4 linked regions of the Macaca mulatta genome follow. The protein of the gene in region 1 binds, or shares a complex with, the protein of each later gene. Links are inferred from orthologs where the notes say so. Each region holds a gene or a part of one and is shown in the gene's direction. Other genes may lie near its edges.

Region 1 (5,388 bases):
GGCTCACTACAACCTCCGCCTCCCGGATTCAAGCAATTCTTGTGCCTCAGCCGCTGGAGTAGCTGGGACTACAGGTGTGCACGACCACATCCACCTAGTTTCTGAATTTTTAGTAGAGACGGTGTTTCACCCTGTTGGCCAGGCTGGTCTCGAACTCCTGACCTCAAGTGATCTGCCCACCTTGGCCTCCCAAAGTGCTGGGATTACAGGTGTGAACCCCCTCGACTGGCCAAAAAACTTTTTTTTTTTTTTTGCAGAGATGGGGGTCTTGCTATGTTTAGCCCAGGCTGGTCTCCACCTCCTGGCCTCCAGTGAACCTCCACCTCAGCCTCCCAAAGTGCTGGGATTACAAGCGTGCTAACCACGCCCAGCTAATTTTATTTGTTGTAGAGATGGGGGTCTCCCTATATTGTCCAGGCTGGTCTCGACCTCCTGAGCTCAAACAATCCTCCTGCCTCAGCCTCCCAAAGTGCTGGGATTACAGGCCTGAGCAACCACACCCAGCTGCAAGCCCGATTTTCCTAATGTATCTCTCCTCTTTTTCTTTTCTTTTTCTTTTTTATTTTTTTTGAGACGGAGTTTTGTTCTGTTGCCCAGGCTGGAGTGCAGTGGCACGATCTTGGCTCACTGAAAGCTCCGCCTCCCGGGTTCACGCCATTCTCCTGCCTCAGCCTTCCGAGTAGCTGGGACTACAGGTACCCGCCACTACACCCGGCTACTTTTTTGTATTTTTAGTAGAGATGGGATTTCACCGCGTTAGCCAGGATGGTCTCGATCTCCTGACCTCGTGATCCGACCGCCTCGGCCTCCCAAAGTGCTGAGATTACAGGCGTGAGCCACCGCGCCCGGCCTTTTTCTTTTTTTGAGAGGCTTCTCGCTCTGTCGTCCATGCTGGAGTGCAGTGGGACGATCACCGCTTACTGCAGCCTCAAACTCCTGGCCTCCCAAAGCACTGGGATCACAGGTGGCAGCCACAGCCCCGGCCTGTTTTTTCAGTGTTGAGAGTCCTGGCCCCTAGATAGGAACAAGCATCCTCACTGTTCTAAAGCATCCTCACTGTTCTAAACCCCCCGGGCTGGCCCGGACAACTCCTAAAGCGGCCGAGGGCGGACCCTGAGGAGGCCGGCGCGCGCTTCGGGGCATAGCTTGTGGCGGTGAAGCCGCTCAGGTGGCGGAGGCCTTGGGTATCTGTAAGCAGGTCGCTAGGCCGCAGACCTCGGAACTCGTCTTGGGTCACTTTTATTTATTTATTTATTTTTGAGATGGAGTCTTGCTCTGTCGCCCAGGCTTGAGTGCAAAGGCGCGATCTCGGCTCACTGCAACCTCCGCCTCCCAGATTCAAGCAATTCTCTGCCTCAGCCTCCCAAGTAGCTGGGATTACAGGCGCCCGCCACCACGCCCGGCTAATTTTTGTATTTTTAGTAGAAATGGGGTTTCACCATCTTGGCCAGGCTGGTCTTGAACTCCTGACCTCGTGATCCACGCGCCTAGGCCTCCCAAAGTTCTGGGATTTCAGCCACCGCGCCCGGCCCGGGTCACTTTTCGAGTATACAGTGTCTCCTCTCTCCTTCCTCCGTCGGCCCCCGCTGCCCCGACTCGGAGGCCGCAGATCAGGTTGAGAGCGCTACCATGGTTTCCCGCGCTCGCCTCGGGGCCTATTGCGCCTGCGCGAGTTGTGACGGCGGGACCCAGAGATACCCGCCCCAAGTACAGGATTGCGCCCTCTGCCGTCGCCTAACGGAACTCCGGGCGCTCGTGCGCACGCACCCCAAGCCCCGCCCCCCAGGCTGCCGGCGCGCGAGCCGTTGGCGACGCTCCCTGCCTTCCCTCTCCTGTAGTGGGGCGGGGCCGGGGCGCCCGAGTAGGGGGTGGAAGGCGGGGGCCACATAATGCCACGCCCCCGCCTCGTCCCCATTTGAAGCCCCACGACTCTTCACTGCTGGTCAATCAGAGCCCGTCCTCTCCCTAGTGCCGGCCAATGGGAGGTGCGCTCGGGCTGCTTCCGGCTCCGCGCTCCATTCGCCCCCTCCCCAGGTCTCCCCGCGACTGGCGGGACGCAGGGGCGGGCGTCGGCCGCGGTGACGCGCAGCGGGCCTGGAGCCAATAAGGGGCGGGCTCGGCGCTGATGGACGGTGCTGGTGGCCAGTGGAGAGGCGCTGGCCGCACTTCCCGTCGGGGAGAGAGTGTAATATGGCGAAGACCTACGATTACCTGTTCAAGCTGCTGCTGATCGGGGACTCGGGGGTGGGGAAGACCTGTGTCCTGTTCCGCTTCTCCGAGGACGCCTTCAACTCCACTTTTATCTCCACCATAGGTAGCGGGACCGGGGAGTGGCTGGGGGCGCCAGAGGCCCGGGCTGGGCGCGCCCCTGAGGGGCTGGGGCTGAGGGATCTACCGGGCTGGACTGGCCGAGGGCGCTGAGAGGGTCGAGGGGGCCTAAGGGGAGAAGAGCAGTCGCCTGTACCGCCGTTCGGAGGTTCCTGGGCCGTGGTGGGGGAGACCAGGTGCCCATTTTGCAGATGGGGAGACTGAGGCTCCGACCCTCAGCCCGCTCGTTAGGGAGTGTTATGTCCTGGGCTGGGGTCTTCGCGCCCGTCCTCTCGATCTGTCCTAGCAGCAGCCCTCAAAGCGGTTCTTTTGAGGCTCCTGCCTTACAGAAGTGGAAACTGAGTCATGGGGAATTGGCCATGGGAAAAAGACGGTGACATCTCACCTTAATGAGCATTTACTATGTGCCAAGTGCTTCCCGTGCATTTTCACACTCTCCAGTTCTCGGTGTTAAGTGCTGTTTTGAGCCCGTCTCACAGATGAGGAATTTGAGGCTCAGGGTGGGCCTGGAACTTGCCCAAGGCCACACAGTCTGCAGGTGGTGAGAATGGGATTTGATGGAATTTGAACCTGGCTGTGTCTCAACCCAAAACTCGAGGCTTAGCTATCCTAGAGAGATGCCACCTCACACTCCCAGCTGATGACAAGCTCAGCTAATGCACCTTGGAGCCGGAACTGTAACCCACACCATTCCTGCTCTTTTCTCTGGAGTATTCAGAAGTTGAACCCCTCTCCCTGACCATTCTTCCCCTCATAAGTGTATTTTCCTCTAGAAGGAATGATAAGAGGAGTCAGGACCTTTTCCCTGCCCACATTTCATCCTGCTCCAGGATGACAGTAATGACAAGTGACAGCACTGCCTGCCCTGGAACCTGTCATCTGCAAGAAGATGCAAGATAAAAGCCTCAGCGAGCAACTAAATCAGCCACTGCCACAGACAGCCTTGACTTCCCTATCAAAGGGCCCAAGACTCCGGTTGTCACTTTAGAACAGCTTTTCCCGTAGGGCCAGCCCACATTGTGGTTGAACAGAATTGGCTTGGTGCATCTCAGTTGTGCCGTCTGCAGAAGTGGAACTGACCTCTCTCAGTGCCACAAAAGCAGTCCTGGCCCACAATGAAAAGGTTAGACCGGGGAGTAACACCAGTCTGAGTGGCCTGGGAGCTCTGTAGCCCTGCTAGGGATGGGGAAAATGGGGGAACGGTCACTAAGGAGTTTATTCCAAGTCACGAAAACGTAGGGAATGGCCTTTGCTTTACTGTGTCACTTCAACAGAATCATGTTTTCTCCCTGAACCCCACGATAATGTGCTGATTCCATTCTTGCCCCCCTCCAGGAGCTGTGCTTTTTTTATTTTATTTTATTTTATTCTATTTTATTTTATTTTATTTTTTGAGATGGAGTCTAGCTGTTTTGCCCAGGCTGGAATCCAGTGGTGCTATCTCGGGTCACTGCAACCTCCGCCTCTCGGGTTCAAGCAATTCTCCTGCCTCAGCCTCTCTAGTAGCTGGGACTATAGGCACCCGCCACCACGTCCAGCTAATTTTTGTATTTTTAGTAAATATGAGTTTCACTATGTTGGTCAGGCTGGTCTCAAACTCATGACCTTGTGATCCACCTACCTTGGCCTCCCGAAGTGCTGGGATTACAAGCATAAGCCACTGCACCCAGGATAGCTGTGCTTTATAAAACAGTTATATGCCTGATGTAAAGTAGAGAGAACTGACTGGAAATCGTTACGTCTGGTTTCCAATTGCTGTTTGCCCTTGAACATACACTGCCCCTCTCTGAGCCCTGCTGTCTTTAGAGCAGGAGTGACGCTGTCTCCTGGGCTAGTGCCCTGGTGGTTGAGGATTAGAATTAGACAATAAGGGGTTATCACCGTAACCAGAGGCCATCTCGAAGAAGCAAATGAATGAATGGCTCCTGCAGTGACAGCATCCAGCCTCTGAAGACAGATGGTTCTGAATTCTTCCCCCTCCCCAACTCCAAGGCCAAACTTTAGGGTAACTCTTGTGCCCCAGCCGATCAAGAAGTGGCGTTAATTCAGCCTGGGCAACATAGCAAAACCCCATCTCTATAAAAAATAAAATAAAATTAGCCGGGCATACTGGCTTACCCGTATAGACCCAGCCACTTGGGAGGCCGAGATGGGAGGATTGATTGAGCCCAGGAGGTCAAGGTGCAGTGAGCTGTGATGGCGCCACTGCACTCCAGCCTGGGCAACAGAGCGAGACCCTATCTTAAAAGAAAGAAAGAAAGAAATTATGTTAACTGTGGGCAGACTGTGGCTTGCCTTCACTCAGATCCCAGTTTCCCGGCCTCAGCACCTTCCCCACAAACCCCCCCTCTTTTTTTTTTGAGATGGAGTCTCGCTCTGTCACCCAGTCTGGAGTGCAGTGGCATAATCTCGGCTCGCTACAACCTCCGCCTCTCAGGTTCCAGCAATTCTCCTGTTTCAGCCTCCTGAGTACCTGGGATTACAAGTGCCCACCACCATGCCCAGCTAATTTTTGTATTTTTTTTTTTTTTTTTTTTTTTAGTAGAGACAGGGTTTCACCACGTTGGCCAGGCTGGTCTCGAACTCCTGACCTCATGATCCGCCCACCTTGGCCTCCCAAAGTGCTGGCATTACAAGCATGAGCCACTGCGCCCAGCCCAGACCCCCCCTCTTTAGAGTTACTTTGAGCTTTAAAGAGGCTGTCTTCCATTTGCAGATGAAGATGTGACTTGGTGAAAGTTACCTAGCAAGGTGAAGGTGGCACCTGACCCCAGGATCCCTCCCTCTCACCCCTTCATTCCCCTCCTTCCATTTGTAGCCTTCTGTCTTCTAGGAATTTCTTTTTTTTTTTTTTTTTTTTTGAGACGGAGTCTCTGCCGCCCAGGCTGGAGTGCAGTGGCCGGATCTCAGCTCACTGCAAGCTCCGCCTCCCGGGTTCACGCCATTCTCCTGCCTCAGCCTCCCAAGTAGTTGGGACTACAGGTGCCCGCCACCTCGCCCGGCTAGTTTTTTGTATTTTTTAGTAGAGACGGGGTTTCACTGTGTTAGCCAGGATGGTCT
Region 2 (5,517 bases), on another chromosome or scaffold:
CAGCCTGGGCTACAAGAGCGAAACTCTGTCTCAAAAAAAAAAAAAGAAGAAGAAGAAGAAGAAAGGCCAAGCACGGTGGCTCATGCCTGTAATCCCAGCACTTTGGGAGGCCGAGGCTGGTGGATCACCCTGAGGTCAGGAGTTCAAGATCAGCCTGGGCAACATGATAAAATTCCATCTCTACTAAAAATACAAAAAATTAGCCATGCATGGTGGCGCACACCTGTAATCCCAGCACTTTGGGAGACCCAGGTGGGAGGATTGCCTGAGCTCAAGAGTTCACAACCAGCCTGGGCAACACGGTGAAACCCCATCTCTACTAAAATACAAAAAATTAGCCAGGCGTGGTGGCATGTGCTGGGACTATAACTGGCGCAGTAGTCCCAGCTACTCGGGAGGCTGAGGTAGGAGAATTGCTTGAACCTGGGAGGTGGAGGTTGCAGTGAGCCGAGATTGTGCCACTGCACTCCAGCCTGGGCAACAGAGCAAGACTCCGTCTCAAAAAAAATAAATAAATAAAACTAAAAATAAATAAATAAGGAAAATAAAAACGGCCCTCTGAAAATAGTATGTTTTGTTAATTTGCTTTGCTTTAGTTGGTTGGTTTAATCCGTGTACATTCTCCATTGAGATTCTAGTACCTCAGTGTGGAGAAAATGGACACACCCATCACAAGGAAAGCTGCCAATACATTCCTAGGAAAGATAAGCCCTGTTGCTGAGCTTTCTGCCTGAGACTATCACAAACCTCCAATGGAACCTAAAATAACTTGAGATTTGTTGTGCTTTTGTTTTGAAACATGGTCTCACTCTGTCACCATGGTCTTACTCCGTCACAGGCACCACTCTGTGGTGCGATCTTGGCTCGCTGGAGCCTCAACATCCTGGGCTCAAGCGATCCTCCCACCTCAGCCTCCCGAGTACCTGCCACTACAGGCATGAACCACCGTGTCCACCTAATTTTGTTTACTTTTTGTAGAGATAGGGTCTCACTATGATGCCCAGGCTAGTCTCGAATTCCTGGGCTCAAGCAATCCTCCTGCCTCAGCCTCCTAAAGTGTAGAGATTAAGGCATGAGCCACAGCAAATAACTCAAGTTTCTAAGCCACACTGCTAATATTCTCAGTAATATGGATTCTGCATATGTGTCAAATGCTTTGTGATTTTCAGACAGGGGTTTCTCTCTTGTTAATTACGCCTGCTTCTCTCACCCAAGTAGCAAGGTGTCTCCAACACCAGCAATTCCTCCCCAGCTCTGTGGAAGAAAGAATGAAGGATCACAATCACATCTGTAAAGTGCTTCCTAAGTGTGTGAGGTGTCACACACATTATCTCATAAGTTCATGTTCCTCGCAGCAACCCTGCCACCTGGGTCCCGCTATTGTCCCCATTTTACAGAAGAGGAGACTGAGGCTTGGAGACGTTAAGTAACTTGCCAAGGTGGCAGCGCCGGTTACGTGGAGGAGCCGAGGACCCAGCGAAGTGAGCAGGGTAGGAATTCCCCATTTTATTGAGAGTCACAGAAGTCAGATGCCCCAGGCCCTAATGATAATTTGCTGGGAGTTTTCCAGATCCTCAAGCCTTGGGGACTCTGTCGCGCTGCCCACAACAGCTGCTTTCTGTTTGGCCGCAGGTTCCAGAAAACTCCCTCAAAGAGAGACCCGAATCTTCCATCACGTACGATGCAAATTCTACGGCTGGAAAGCACGAGAGTAGAAAGGAAAAAGTTGCTTTCTTTTTGCTCTGCTCTCGATTGCGCGGTGGAAACTCGGTCTCCACGGGAACGCGCCTCCCGGCAGCGGTCGCCAGGGGCGGGGCTCAGGGCGGCTCCTCCCCCGGGCTGCAACTGTTCCCAGGCTGGGGGGATTGCCCTCACCCCTGAACTTTCCTCTTCTCGGACGCCCTCCTTTTCTGTTGTCCCTTCGCGCCCCAAACCACAACCTGGAGCGCACTCGCCCGCGCGGCCTGCAGCAGGGACGGTGCGCCAGGGGCGGCCCTAGAGTCGCGTGCGCGGCCCCTTTTTCCCCTTCCCCCCCGCCCCCCCCGGGCCCACCCCCGGGCCGCGCTGATTGGGCAGGTAGGGACTCTGCCCAGCGGAAAGTTTTGGGTGCCGGGAGGAAGTTCAACCTTTGGGAGACTCCAAGAGAGCAGCTCCGGGGTCGGCGGGGGTCTGGGTGGCCATGGAGGAGCCCCCTGTGCGAGAAGAGGAAGAGGAAGAGGACGATGAGAGGGACGAGACTGAGGACGAGGAGAGGGACGAGGCTGGGCCCGAAGGGGCGCTGGGCAAGAGCCCCTTCCAGCTGACCACCGAGGACGTGTATGACATCTCCTACCTGTTGGGCCGCGAACTTATGGCCCTGGGCAGCGACCCCCGGGTGACGCAGCTGCAGTTCAAAGTCGTCCGCGTCCTGGAGATGCTGGAGGCGCTGGTGAATGAGGGCAGCCTGGCGCTGGAGGAGCTGAAGATGGAGAGGGACAACCTCAGGAAGGAGGTGGAGGGGCTGCGGAGACAGGACCCTCCGACCAGCGGGGAGGTGAGTGTTGGGCCCAGAGCGCCTGCGGGGCGTAGGAGGGCGCCTACTAGCAGGAAGACACCTTCTCTTTTCTTTTCTTTTCTTTTCTTTTTTCTTTTCTTTGCCTTTCCTTTCTTTTCTTTTCCTTTTTTTTTTTAAAGAGATGGGATCTCGCTGTGTTGCCCAGGCTGGTCTCAAACTCCTGGCTTCAAGTGATCCTCCAGCCTCAGCCTCCTAGAGTACTGGGTTTACAGGTGGGAGCCACCCTGCGGGGCCAGAATCTGTATTTCTAACGAGTTCCCAGTTAATGCTGATGCTGGTGGCCCCGGGTCCAGTTTGAGAACCTTTGACCTAGAGCAACAAACACAATTTTTTTTTTTTTGACACAGGGTCTTGCTCTATTGCCCAGGCTAGAGTACAGTGGTGCAAACATGGCTCACTTATAGCCTTGGCCTCCTAGGCTCAAGCAATTCTCCTGCCTCAGCCTTGCGAGTAGCTGGGAGTACAGGCATGTGCCACCATGCCTAGCTAACTGTTTTGATGTTTTGTAGAGATGGGGGTCTCACCGTTACCCAGGCTGGTCTCAAACTCCTGAGCTCAGGGAATCCTCCCGCCTTGGCCTCCCAAAGTGCTGGGATTGTGGATGTGAGCCACCACACTTGGGCAAGAAACACATTTTACCTAAAGAGAAATTAGTGCATATGACCACAAAAAGACATAGACAAGAAGATTCCGAGCAGCTTTAGTCTCAACTGCTGAACTGGAAACAATCTAAATGCAACCCAGTTTCAGTTTTGAAATTGTGATATATGGAATACTGTGCAACAGAAAAAGAACAGGGTGCTGATACACATAGCAGTGTGAATGAATCTCACAGATGTTACATTGAGAGAAAGAAGCCAGGCACAAAAGAGAAACTACTGTAGATTTTTTTTTTTTTCGAGTCAGAGTCTTGCTCTGTTGCCCAGGTGTAGTAGTGCAGTCACGTGACCTCGACTCACTGCAACCTCCACCTCCTGGGTTCAAGCGATTCTCCTGCCTCAGCCTCCTGAGCAGCTGGGATTACAGGCGCTTGCCACCATGCCTGGCTAATTTTTTTTTTCTTTTCTTTTTTAGTAGAGATGGGGTTTCGCCATTTTGGCCAGGCTGACCTCAAACTCCTGGCCTCAAGTGACCCACCCACCTCAGCCTTCCAAAGTGCTGGGATTACAGGCGTGAGCCACCGTACCCGGCCTAGGTTTTTAAAATTCTTGTCGAAACTCATTCATGTTATGACCTACTAGCAGGTCTCCAGCCACAGTTAAAAAAAAAAAAAAAAAAGCTGCTGTAAGTGGACGATGTCTTTTTTAATCCTCACACTATTACTGTTTTACAAAAATGAGGCACAGAACAATTAAGTAATTTGCCTGAGGACTTAACGGCAAGTAAGAGGTGAAGCCAGGATCTTCATTCAGAGATGCTAGTCCTAAATACTCCATCCTAAAATGCAGACATTTGGCCTTACTTGTTGTACTAACATTTGATGAGTGACTGCAGTGACTGATGCTAGGCTCTGGGGCTATGGAGATAAAGTAGACAAGGTGCCTGCCCTCAAGAAGCTCACATCTAGTGGGAGAGGCCAGACACACAGTCCTAGAACCAGGACACAAGTATACAAACCGGGCCAGGCGCAGTGGCTCACACCTGTAATCCCAGCACTTTGGGGGGCCGAGGCAGGCAGATCACTTGAGGCCAGGAGTTCGGGACCAGCCTGAGCAACATGGTGAAACCCTGCCTCTACTAAAAATACAAAATTAGCTGGACCTGGTGGCGCACGCCTGTAATCCCAGCTGCTCAGAGGCTGAGGCACGAGAATCACTTGAACCCAGGAGGTGGAGGTTGCAGTGAGCCGAGATCGTGCCACTGGACTCCATCCAGGGCGACAGAGCAAGACTGTCTCAAAAACAAACAAACAAACAAACAAACAAAAACCAAGTATACAAACCAAGGCTGGGCGCGATGGCTCACGCCTGTAATCCCATCACTTTGGGAGGCCGAGGCAGGCAGATCAGGAGGTCAAGAGATCGAGACCATCCTGGCCAACATACTCCGCGTCTACTAAAAATACAAAAATTAGCTGGGCATGGTGGCACGCGCCCATATTCCCAGCTACTCGGGAGGCTGAGGCAAGAGAATTGCTTGAACCTGGGAGGGGGAGGTTGCATTGAGCTGAGATCATGCCACTGCATTCCAGCCTGGCAACAGAGCAAGACGATTTTGTCTTAAAAAAAAAAAAAAAGTATACAAACCAAGAAGTAAGCCTGGAAAGAACAGGAACGAGTCACTGAAATTCACAGGGAAGTGTGAAGTTTCCCAGTAGCTTCCCTGGTAACTTTTTTTTCTTCTTATTATTAATTATTATTATTTGCCTCATACCTTCTCTGACCCCGGTAGTTTATTTCACCTATTCCTAAGTGATGGTGACAATTGTATTTCTAGATAATATTCTACTTTAGTATCTGTCAAGTGACATGGTTAAGTGTGATGACTTGTAGCCTGGCTTTTGAGAGTCAAGGAAAGTTGAGTGACTTGCACAGGATTGCTCAGCCACATTCTGTGTTATTTTTGCCTCCATCTCCGGGCACAAGAATATGGAGGAAGTCTCATTATGAGCTAAGAATAGTGTGGTGTGCACAGGGGCTGGGTACTTTCCCATATGGGGCAAAGTGGACAAGTTTCATCAGGCGGCAGATGAGATGGCATATTTTCTTCCCAAACTGCAGCCTTAAGAACTGGGGTAGGGAAAAATGCGTGAATCAAGAAAATGAATGTTTAGTGCCACTAGATAGTGCACAAAAATATGCCTTGTTTTTTCCTTTGTATGTTTTGAGACAGGGTCTCACTTTGTCACCCAGGCTGGCATGCAGTGGTTTGAACACTGCTCACTGCAGCTTCAGCCTCCCTGGGCTCAGGTCTCCCACCTCAGCCTCCCTAGTAGCTGAGACCATAAGCGTACGCCACTATGG
Region 3 (5,368 bases), on another chromosome or scaffold:
CCATTCACTCATTCTGCATTTACTGAGTCAGTCCCACTGCATGTCAGACCTTGTGCCTGTTCTCAAGAAGCTCACAGTCTAGGAAAATGGAGAAATACAGCTACAATTATAACTCTATGTGATAAGTATTACAAAGAGATACGGTGTTATGGAAGCACTGGTAGGGGCACTTAGCCCATACTGGAGTGGCTGGGATAGGGCTGAGTGGCCAACAGGGAAGGGTTCACAGGGGAATTGACGTCTAGGATAAATAATGAATAACAAACAACTAGCAAGGCAAGGAAAAGGTAGGAGATCAAGACATAAAAAGAAACAGCATATGGAAATACAGGGTTGTGAGTACAGCAAGACTGGGGAGCCCAAGTGGTTTGCTGTATATTTAATTTATTCATTTCACGTAGCTATTACTGACATACTTGTCTCCCTATATATGTTTGAGTCCGTGAATGGTGGGGACTTTGTAATGGTTTCTCTGTCCCTATGTCTAACAGGAAGCACACAGATGGAGTGCAATAAAATGTTTGATGAATGAATGACCAGCTACGTGGTGTAAGGGAGAACAGTTAGGAGTCCGTTAATAAGAAAGGTCATTTCTAATGGCAATGAATATCAGGTAAGATATATTTAAGAATTATTTAGAAATTAGGATGAATAAGACTTGGTGATATATTGGTGACGGGGTATAAAATAAGAAAAACTGACTTTCTAGGTTTCTGGATTACAGATGCATGATAATAGTTATAATGGTATAATAACAATAGCTAATATTCATCAGGCACCCTGTGTCATGAAGTATGCAAAGTGTTTACATGAATTAAGTCATTTAAACTCTCAATGACTTAGCGAGGCAGGTTCTTGTATACTCATTCACTGATGAGAAAACTGGGGCTAGAGATTCATTTGCCTAAGGTCACTCAGCTAGCAGGTGGCAGGCTCAAACCCAGTAATTCTGACTCCAACAGCCATACACATAGTCTACTTTTCTTTACTGCCTCTAATAGATGAGATTAATACCCAGAATGATGGTTCTATTCAATATGTGTATCACATAAATTGCACGTTTCTCTTTTGCTAAACATAGAGACACATACTATGAATGCCTCTTTATTTTTTCCGATTTTTGGGATCTTGGCTCTTTCTGTATTTTTCCTACCTGGAAGACTTAAAGTGGGGTGGAAGTTTGATAAAACAGTTGGCACAAAAGATGAGAGAAGACAGGTACAGGCGTGACATTCTCGAACGCTCTGGCAGTTGCTGGAATGATGGGATCTGGGTTCTACAGGATTCCTCCCCTCCCATCCCCCGCCACACAAACACACACACACACACGTCGTAAGATGTATATGGCCGCGGAGTCTCAGGTTGGTTCTAGGAGTCCTCAACTCACGGCGAAGGTGCCTCTTCTCCCTTCTGGAGAGCCCAACATGCCTGAAGTCAACCTGAGGTGGCCTCTCGGGCCCCGGGAAACAGCGCAGCTCGGGCTCGCCCTTGTTCCCAGGGAAACCGCCCGCGGAGGAACCTGGGGCCAGGCCCGTGACAGCTGCGACGAGCCCCGCCTGGCGCCAGGGGGCGCGGAAGCGCGTCCGCCCCCAGGCCCCACGCCGGGCCCGCCCCGCCCCTGCCGGCCACACCCCCCCGCCCCGCCCACCCTCCGTGAGGACCGGCCGCTCCCAGCTCCCGGCTCCCGGCCCCGGGCCCCGGCCCCGCTTCCGGCGCAGGCGCAGTCCCGCGTTCCCTCGGCGGCTGCCGGCGTAGTGAGCCCGCCACCGTGGAGTGTAGCGGCAAGGGCTCGCCGTCCTCCTCCGCCTCTCGCTGCTTCGGGGCGCGCTCTCTGCGGCTCTGTGAGCGCCCGTGAGCGCCGGCAGCGGCCGCGGTGGGTTCGTCAGGTGAGTGTGGCCGCGGGAGGGAGAGGCCCGGAGCGTGGAGCACCGCCCCCCTCGGCGCCCGCGCACCCGCCTCCGGCGAGTCGGCCAGGAGGGGCGGCCGCGGCAGGTGCAGGTGCCGGCGCCGTGGAGGGCGCGGCGCGCGGGGGTTCGGCGGGATGCCCCGGCCCGGTGAGCGCGCTCTCCGCCTGGGCAGTTGGGCTCCGGGCTCTTGGGGGCGGCGTGTGGGGGGACCTCGGCGCCCCGGGTCAGCCGGCCGCCCCCTGGGCTGCTGGTGGGCGCCGGGCGGCGGCTCCTCCCCCGGGCACGGGCGCGTTACACATTAACTGCGCGGTCCCGCGCGCCCGGGGCAGGGAGCCGGAGCCCGGCGGGTTACCTGGCGGCGGCCGGGAGCGGCCGGGAGCGGCCGGGAGCGGAGGGCCGGGGTCGCGAGGGGGATGAAGACGGAGTTCCCGAACAAGTCGGTAGCCGCTCACAACACCGGGCGCCGCGCGGCAGGGCTGTGGACGGGGCAATAGCTGTGGACCTGGGGTGGTTTCGTGCCCCAGTCTTAGGAAACGACGCTAGAGGCACCGTGCTGAGGCGTAGAGGTCACCCTCGGGAGGTTTCGGTGAAACCTGGTGGGAAATTCCGGGCAGGCGCCCGGAGTCGCGTCCGAAGAGGCAGCTCCTTGCAGCCAGACTTGTGTTCGGGGGAGTTGAGACGAGCTGCACGGATGGGATTGCACGGCTTTGCCCTCCCAGCGTTGAAAACTCGCCCCGACCGCCCGGGGAAGCGCGAGCTTCCTCGCTCCAGAATTGATGCTGGGTGGAAGCCGCAGCATGTAAAGAGTTGCCGGTTGTTATGGGATTAAAAAAAGATATATCTACAATGGCTAAAGGGTAAGGTCTTGAAAGACAAGAGCGCTGAGTTAGTACTGATTACTGAGAGGCAATTTAGTTTCATGGAAATGTTGCCTGTTCGGAGGCTACCTGTTATACACTCTCATGTTTCACCCCAACTCCTTCCTTTCAGTGTCGGGTTAAAAGCCTTGTAATCTCTTGCAGTGGAATGATTGCATAATTGGAGGAGGGGCCCGTAAGAGGATTACAACAAAACTGTTCCTTTGTAAATCAATTGAAAGACCCAGTTCTTGTTCATTATCCTTTTTCTCATTTTGTTGTTCATGAAGGTTTTTTTTTTTTTCCCCCCAGTGGTGAATGACAAATCAAGGAGAAAAGAGGCAGAATAGGTTTGTAGACCAATCGTAGTAAATATTTGATACTGTTAAATATTTCACCAGTTTTATGGGGCCTTGTACTATTACCATTTGTTATTTATTTACTAGTACTGTGCATTTTGATAGGACTTTTCGTGTTTGGACATTGTATTCCAGATATGGCTTATGTGATCTAATGCTAAAGCCCTTGTGGAATTTATAGAAATAAACAGTTATACAGTTAAGTAGTCCATTTTTTAACTATTGAAGGAAAAGCCTTTCATTTTTTTCCATTGCAGTAATGTTATATATTGATGTATACCTTTGTGAACCAAAGTGTTTAATATAAATCTTCCTTCCGTATTTGGCAGACAACTCATCTGTGGTATTGAATACTTGTAACCTTTCACCAGGATGGCCATTTAATGTTTAGCTGCTTTGTGGGTTTTCTGACTAGATCCTATTGTACTTTTTGAATTAGTGTAATTATCCATATGCTTCCTTTAATATTCTTTTTTTTTTTTTTTTTTTTTTTTTTTTTTGAGACGGAGTCTCGCTCTGTCACCCAGGCTGGAGTGCAGTGGCCGGATCTGAGCTCACTGCAAACTCCGCCTCCCGAGTTCACGCCATTCTCCTGCCTCAGCCTCCCGAGTAGCTGGGACTACAGGCGCCCGCCACCTCGCCCGGCTAAGTTTTTGTATTTTTAGTAGAGACGGGGTTTCATTGTGTTAGCCAGGATGGTCTCGATCTCCTGACCTCGTGATCCGCACGTCTCGGCCTCCCAAAGTGCTGGGATTACAGGCTTGAGCCACCGCGCCCGACCTAATATTCTTTACCTTTGATCCTCCCCCAACACACACATCCTCTGCAAATACTTTTTAAAATGGAAATGTTCTTAGAAATCTGTTTCACCCCCTCATTTTTTAAACATGGCAGGAAAAAATACTTTGTAGATTATAGTAGTTTTATATGCATTATAGTAGTTAGTATATTTTTTTCCCCCTCAGCAGGAGTCAGTGAACAAATTAGTGAGCTGGCTGAATGAAAAATTATTTAATGTTCAGTTCCATCACTTACTGTGCATAAAACCTTGAGTAAAACATTTAACCTATTTGAGCTTATTTTCTCCATTTGTCAGTGGAAATACTATTAGGTTGAAATTGCTAATATTCTGCTGTTTTTTATGTTTCAACCTAATATGAACTTCATAGTGGTGAGATGAGGATTTAATAAGATACTCCATTAGAGATGTGGGGAAGGGGAGAAGGAACCAATGTGAGCTTGCTTGTGTGCAAGGCACTGTGCGTGCTTGTTTTCCATACCTTGACTCCTCAGTCCTCTGGACATTCCTGGGATATAGGTGACTTGTCAAATTTTACAAATCAGGAAATGGAGGCTTAGAAAGTTGCGGTAATTTGTCTGTAGTTACTTAGTTGTAGGTGGTCGTACAGCTGGCCAGTGACAGAGCCGGTATTAAAAACTGTATCCAACTGCCCAAAAAGGAACTTAGTGCTTTTATTCCTTACATTCCCAGTCTGCACTTTCTATTAAAGAACTTTGTAACTATAAGGAGGCACACAGAGTGACAAGTGTTACCATTTGTATTTCTGGTTTAAAAATACCCAGGTTTTCTAATGACGGTGATACCAGCCTTGCTACTACAGTTACTTTTAAGTCTAGTGCTTATCAAGCCAAGTCCTGGTACAAGCTTTATACTAACTCACTTACTCTCACAGTGAGCTAGGAGATAATACTTTATCCCTATTTTGTAGTTGAGAAAATTGAGACGCTGAGACCTTATGTAGTTTGCTCAAAGTCATATAATTAATTAAGTGACAGGTCTGGATTAGATGTCAGTTTGTCTTCCATGTCTGTGCTGTTAACCACTGCACTCTGTATAAGTGGTAATGCTGAAGAATTATTTGCTTATAATCACTGCATTATCACTTCTTTGTGTGTAGCTTATAATGCTGAAGAACTGTTCGTAATTTAGCTTTTATGAGATATGTAATATTAATGTAATATGTAATTCTTATGTGTCACCAGAGATTTTTTTAAATCATATACTCAATTGAGCATCTACTCTGCAAGTCACAGTAGGGGTTAAAGGAAACAATTCTTAAGGAATATGGGAGGTGGGGCCTTATAATCATTCCCATATCTTTTATAAGTTCTTCAAAATGTAGAACACACGTTACATATTTTAATGAATGTCAACTAAGACGAAGTGCTAGGATAGTTGAGTAGTGGAGAGGAAGAACAGATGGGTAGTGGGTAGAGATATTTG
Region 4 (5,375 bases), on another chromosome or scaffold:
ATGATCCACCCGCCTTGGCCTCCTAGAGTGCTGGGATTACAGGCATGAGCCAACCCCTGTGGCTTTCTTCTTTTTTTAAACCTTTTTTTTTTTTTGAGACGGAGTCTCACTCTGTCGCCCAGGCTGGAGTGCAGTGGTGCAATCTCGGCTCACTGCAAGCTCTGCCTCCCAGGTTCATGCCATTCTCCGGCCTCAGCCTCCCAAGTAGCTGGGACTACAGGTGCCCTCCACCACACCCGGCTAATATTTTGTGTTTTTAGTAGAGACGGGTTTTTGTTTGTTTGTTTGTTTTTAATAATAGAGATGAGGTCTCAGTTTGTTGCCTAGGCTGGTCTCAAACTCCTGGGCTCAAGCGATCCTCCCACCTCGGCCTCCCAGAGTGCTGGCATTACAGGCGTGAGCCACTGCACCTGGCCACAAATGTTATCTGCTTTAATACTCACTACTTCACAGGGGAGAACTGTTCCCATTTTATATAGATGAGGAAACTGAGTCCCAGAGAGGTTAAGTGACTTGCCTGAGGCCACACAGCCAGCGAGTGGCAGAACTAGGATGAGAATTCGGGCCAAATGAAGACAGGGTGGCACATTCACACCATCCCACAGATGGATGGGGTCTGTGTACCAGGCAAGGGGACACTGAGAAGGGTGACGAGGATGGCCCAGCCTCTGCGCAGAGGGCCACTCAGTTCTTGCGGGAGTGTGCACCAGTTCCGTGGGGTGTTTGTCATGTGCAGGGCTAACCATGTGTCTGAGGGCTCTGGTGTCTGCAGAGGAAAAAAGTAACCCACAGGGGAGGGCTTCCTAGAGGAGGGGGTATGAACAAAAGAGAAACTTACCAGCAGAGGCAGGATGCAGTGGAGATTGCAGACAGGTGGGATAGTATGTGGAAAGAAGAGGAATGGGCACATCTGGGCAGTGGCAACTGACCTGGTGTGCTTTGGAGGGTGAGAATCCATTTCATAGTTGGAGAAACTGAGGCACAAAGAGGCTAACGTGCTCAAAGGCACACCGTCTGAAAGTGGGGTTGAATCCAGCCTGTCTGACCCTGGGCCTGTGCTCCCAGCTGCTACCACTGAGTTGTTCCTGGGTGGTGGCGGTGAAAAGTTTTAAGGGTAGCGAGACCCCGTCTCTCCAAGCAAAAAAAAAAATTTAAGAATTAGCCAAGCATGGTGACACATGCCTGGAGTCGCAGCTGCTCAGGAGGCTGAGGTGGGAGGATGGCTTGAGCCGGGGAGTTTGAGGCTGCCTTCCAGCCTGGGTGACAGAGTGAGACCCTGCCTTAAAAAATTAAAAAAAAAAAAAAAAAAAAAAAAAAAAGACAAAACTAGGAATCTCAAATCTAAGAAAAAGAATTAAAAAATAATAATAATAACAGTTTTTTGTTTGTTTGTTTGTTTTGTTTTTTGAGATGGAGTTTCGCTCTTGTTGCCTAGGCTGGAATGCAATAGCACGATCTCGGCTCACCGCAACCTCCGCCTCCCAGGTTCAAGCAATTCTCCTGCCTCAGGCTCCCGAGTAGCTGGGATGACAGGCATGCGCCACCATGCCTGGCTAATTTTGTATTTTTAGTAGAGACGGGGTTTCACCATGTTGGTCAGGCTGGTCTTGAACTGCTGACTTCAGGTGATCTGCCCGCCTCGGCCTCCCAAAGTGCTGGGATTACAGGCGTGAGTCTCCGTGCCCGGCCAATAACAAAGTTTTAAGTGGATATTCAGGCTTGTGGTCACAGTCGGGAGGGCCTGTCAGGGCTCCACAGCCAGCTTACGACAGCTATGACAGGGTCAAGGCTGGACAGGCAGTTTCCAACGCCCCAGCCTGTGTGGCGAGGGGACAAGTAGACCATCTGGGAGCCTGGCTGAAACACGGGGCCTCCTCTTGAGGTGTCTCATCTCCCCTGGCCCAGAGCCCAGGAAGGAGGGCCCAGTGTCTTCTGCTGCCTGAGGAGCCACAGGAGTTAATAATTACGGGGTTGAAGGAGATAGCGGCTGTCCTGGGAGGTGGTGCCTCCCTCCCAGGCTGCTGCTCTGAGGAGATAGCAAAGGTTAGTGTGAGGCCCAGCCTAGTGGGGGGAAGAAGGCTCCTGCTACCTCCCTTCCCAGCACCCTCCAGAGGGACCCTCAGTCTGGCCTTCCAAGCATGGACTCTTCTGAGGAGCACGCCAGGTGCCCCGCCCGAGGGACATGCCCCGTGTTCCTGGCCATGAGTGCAGGGACTGTCCGCTACGCCCCATTAGGCCTGTGCCCTGCACTTGAGGGGAGCTTGAGAGAAGAGCCCTGGGGCACAGAAAGGTGAGCTCAGGACCTGCGGCATGGAGGGGAGGGGGAATCTTGGCGAGCTTCAGGGCAGCCGGTGTGAGAAGCTGGGCTCAGAGAGTCCTAGGGAATGGCTCTGACTATCTTGTCCAATTTGGTGGCTGTAGAGAGGTGGAGACTGAAGCTCAGATAGGGCAAGACACTCGTCCTGGGTCACACAGTGAGCTGAGGTCAGACCTGTAAGTCCAGAATCAGGGCCTGGGTCATCCAGGCTGACTGTCTCCTACTCCTCAGCTGCCTTCAGCCAAGGGTCTGTGGTCAAGGCTGTCAGGCTTGGGATGTAGCAGGCAGAGGGGGATAGAGGGAGGGAGGGTCAGGAGGGCAGTGGCTTGTGGGCAGAGGACACAACTTTTTTTTTTTTTTTTTTTTTGAGATGGAGTTTCGCTCTTGTTGCCCAGGCTGGAGTGCAATGGTGCGATCTCGGCTTACAGCAACCTCTGCCTCCCGGGTTCAAGCGATTCTCCTGCCTCAGCCTCCTGAGCAGCTGGGATTACAGGCATGCACCACCACGCCCAGCTAATTTTGTATTTTTTAATAGAGACAGGGTTTCTTCATGTTGGTTAGGCTGGTCTCAAACTCCCGACCTCAGGTGATCCGCCTGTCCTGGCCTCCCAAAGTGCTGGGATTACAGACGTGAGCCACCGCGCCTGGCCCAGACACAACTTTTATTTCTCCCTTCCCTGCCACTGGCCAGGAACCCATAGCCTGTGCTCAGGAACCTCTTGCTGCCTGGCTGCACACAGCTGCAGCTGCCAGTGAGCTTCTAGTTTCTGGATGGTCTTTTTGGAAAACTGGTGTAAGAGGACTCAGCCCCACTGCCCCTGGCTGTGTGATATCTGGCAAGTTCCTTAACTTCTCTGAGCCCATCCTTTTTGGCTGAGGAGCAAGTTCAGCTGAGCAGTAGGGTCCTCCCTACTGGGGGAGGCAGTGAGGCCTAGGAGTCCATGGTAGCAGGAAGCATGGATGACAGGCTATTTTTGGTTAGAAATTGAGTGTCGATGCTTTCTGAGTGGTGACCACACACTTGTCCTTCGAGACCTCGCTCAAGGGCCTCCCCAGTCCACCAGCTGTCCCAGGCTGAGTACTCTTCCTCCAGGGACATAGCCCTGAGCTGACGCCTCCTCCACCCACTTTATCTCCCACTGGTCTGGGTTGCCATGACTTATCTCCTCCCGGTGCTTGTGAAGACTTGAGGGCAAGGGCCCTGTGCTGGGTTCCTTTTGTGTCATTTTCTCCTCCTTCTCTAAATAGTGAACAAAACAAGGCCAGGAAGACAACAGTTGCTCAAGACCTACTGATGAGGGATTCAAGCCAGCAAACACATGTGGACATCTGCTTTGGGTGGGCCAGACCCTGAGCTGGGCTGGGGGCGGGGTGAGGGAACACAGCTCCAAGAAAGAGAGAATCCCTGCCCTCTGGAAGCCATGGCCATGGAAACAACTGCCCTGCTGCGTGATGGCTATGGGACGCCTGGGCTGAATGATTCTAGAAAGTTGGAAGGGATGCTATGGAGAACTGCCAAGGTTGTTCACTGCACAAAATGCTGGCCAAGGGAGCAAGCAAGGCATAGAATCCAGCCTCGCCTCCACTCTCCAGATTCCCTACCTTGTTGTGCACTATGCCCAGTGGGGAAAGAGCACTGTTGTCTATTTGTACTCTGGACATGGAGGTCTTAGAGAATACCTCCCTCATCCTCCATCCTCCATCATGGAGCCCCAGGAGGGCAGAGCCTATGTCTGCACAGTTTCCTTCTGGGTCACCAGCCCTTGCATGGCCCATAGACTATGCTCAGATGGAGTGGCTGAATGTATGAATGAGTTGAATGAATGAATAAAATGTGTCCTCAAATGAAGATCTGACTAACTTGAGCCTGGGGCCTGAGTCAGTGGGCCTGGAGGGGTTCAGCACTAGGACCTCTGGTAGCACCTAGAAGGGCAAGTACCTCCCCCCAAGCTCCCAGTCCTCCCCCAGACAGGGAAGGTGGGAGCCATGGTTCCTGGTGGGAGAGAAGAGGGGTTCTGCTCTTACTGGTCCAGTCCCAGGCTGAAGTTGAGAACAATGATCAGGACTCAGAATGGGTGGGACAGAGGAACTGAGGGACAGGTAGACCAGTGGTCTGGGATTCAGGGAAAGGTTTCACGGAGGATGAGGAACCAGACAGGTGTGCGTATGTGTGTGTGTTGGTGGGGGTGGGGTGGGGAATACTATCCAGAGGGCAGATGGTGGATAAAGGCAGGGATGGGTACAGTGTGTTAAGAGGCAGGAGGCTGGGTGAGGAGAGTTGAACCAGAAGTGGAAACTCCTTCGGGGTAAAACTCAGAGAGTAGGACTCAGAAAACTTGTTTCGGGTTTGTCCCCTCCCCTTCCCAGCAGGCAGGATGTTGCACAGGGACAGGCACTAAGTAGATAGACTAGGGAAGGAGTGCCGGTGAGGATGGGGGAGGGTGTCTGCTGGCCTTAAGTGACAATCTGTGTGAGAATCCAAGAGCTGAGAGCCCGGGAGCCATTGTAGGTTCTTGAGCAGGGGTGGCCCAAAGTGGGTGGTGCAGAGGGCGATTGGAGAGGACGAGTCAGCTAGGGAGTCTGAGCGCGGCGCGGGCCGCGGGATGTTGGGGGCCGGGTTCCTTCCCCGCGCCGCGGTCTCCTTGTCCCGGCGCGGCGGGCCGGGTGGGGCCGGGCCCTGGGAGCGCGCGCCCGATCCCAGCGCCCGGCCGGCGAGGGGCGGGGCCGGGCACGTGTCCTCGGGCCGCCCCCCTCCGCCACGTGACCCGCCCAGGGCAGGGTCGGGGCTGGGCTGGGGGCCGCGAGCCCAGGCAGCTGAGACCTACTGACCGGCCGCGGGCTGGGCTGACAGGCGGTGGGGCGGCTCGGCCCCGGGAGGAGTCGGCGGCGAGCGGGGACGCGGCGCGGGGAGGACGCGGCGGCGGCGCTGGGAACAAACGCCCGGGCGCCCCGAGGCGCCGGGATGTGGAGCGGGTAGGTCCGCGCGCGCTCGCGGTCCCGCGCCGGGTCTGGGCCGCGGCTGCCTCCCGGGACAGAATGATTGGGGGGGGGGGTCCCC

Evidence for each region.
Region 2: the proteins of RAB8A (region 1) and RILPL2 are in contact, whole or in part, in a crystal structure (PDB 6SQ2), measured with the Homo sapiens proteins. The link is inferred for Macaca mulatta from reciprocal best matches to the Homo sapiens genes RAB8A and RILPL2. Residues at the interface, in NP_005361.2 of Homo sapiens: Ile41, Gly42, Ile43, Asp44, Phe45, Lys46, Ile47, Lys58, Trp62, Phe70, Ile73, Tyr77; in NP_659495.1 of Homo sapiens: Leu135, Leu138, Arg139, Leu142, Gln143, Arg145, Asn146, Lys149, Ser150, Leu153, Glu157.
Region 3: the proteins of RAB8A (region 1) and RAB3IP are in contact, whole or in part, in a crystal structure (PDB 4LHX), measured with the Homo sapiens proteins. The link is inferred for Macaca mulatta from reciprocal best matches to the Homo sapiens genes RAB8A and RAB3IP. Residues at the interface, in NP_005361.2 of Homo sapiens: Lys10, Phe33, Ser35, Thr36, Phe37, Ile43, Asp44, Phe45, Lys46, Ile47, Trp62, Ile73, Ala76, Tyr77, Arg79, Gly80; in NP_783322.1 of Homo sapiens: Ser199, Arg202, Asp203, Gly206, Leu209, Glu210, Thr213, Ala214, Phe217, Glu218, Ala220, His221, Val224, Asn228.
Region 4: the proteins of RAB8A (region 1) and RAB3IL1 are in contact, whole or in part, in a crystal structure (PDB 4LI0), measured with the Homo sapiens proteins. The link is inferred for Macaca mulatta from reciprocal best matches to the Homo sapiens genes RAB8A and RAB3IL1. Residues at the interface, in NP_005361.2 of Homo sapiens: Lys10, Phe33, Ser35, Phe37, Ile43, Asp44, Phe45, Lys46, Ile47, Gln60, Trp62, Thr72, Ile73, Thr75, Ala76, Tyr77, Arg79; in NP_037533.2 of Homo sapiens: Arg104, Glu108, Leu111, Glu112, Thr115, Ala116, Phe119, Glu120, Ala122, His123, Arg127.

What each region holds. Positions count from the first base shown.
Region 1 is NC_133424.1:16,584,666-16,590,053, forward strand, and holds the start of RAB8A (ras-related protein Rab-8A), read left to right. Parts: upstream 1-2,177; 5' UTR 2,178-2,190; coding exon 2,191-2,314; intron 2,315-2,664; exon of another isoform or gene 2,665-3,256; intron 3,257-5,388. UniProt on the Homo sapiens protein: The small GTPases Rab are key regulators of intracellular membrane trafficking, from the formation of transport vesicles to their fusion with membranes.
Region 2 is NC_133416.1:130,849,491-130,855,007, reverse strand, and holds the start of RILPL2 (RILP-like protein 2), read left to right. Parts: upstream 1-2,109; 5' UTR 2,110-2,179; coding exon 2,180-2,533; intron 2,534-5,517. UniProt on the Homo sapiens protein: Involved in cell shape and neuronal morphogenesis, positively regulating the establishment and maintenance of dendritic spines. Plays a role in cellular protein transport, including protein transport away from primary cilia.
Region 3 is NC_133416.1:76,866,831-76,872,198, forward strand, and holds the start of RAB3IP (rab-3A-interacting protein), read left to right. Parts: upstream 1-1,960; 5' UTR 1,961-2,726; coding exon 2,727-2,764; intron 2,765-5,368. UniProt on the Homo sapiens protein: Guanine nucleotide exchange factor (GEF) which may activate RAB8A and RAB8B. Promotes the exchange of GDP to GTP, converting inactive GDP-bound Rab proteins into their active GTP-bound form.
Region 4 is NC_133419.1:12,068,534-12,073,908, forward strand, and holds the start of RAB3IL1 (guanine nucleotide exchange factor for Rab-3A), read left to right. Parts: upstream 1-1,967; 5' UTR 1,968-2,138; coding exon 2,139-2,290; intron 2,291-5,064; exon of another isoform or gene 5,065-5,279; coding exon of another isoform or gene 5,280-5,290; intron 5,291-5,375. UniProt on the Homo sapiens protein: Guanine nucleotide exchange factor (GEF) which may activate RAB3A, a GTPase that regulates synaptic vesicle exocytosis. Promotes the exchange of GDP to GTP, converting inactive GDP-bound Rab proteins into their active GTP-bound form.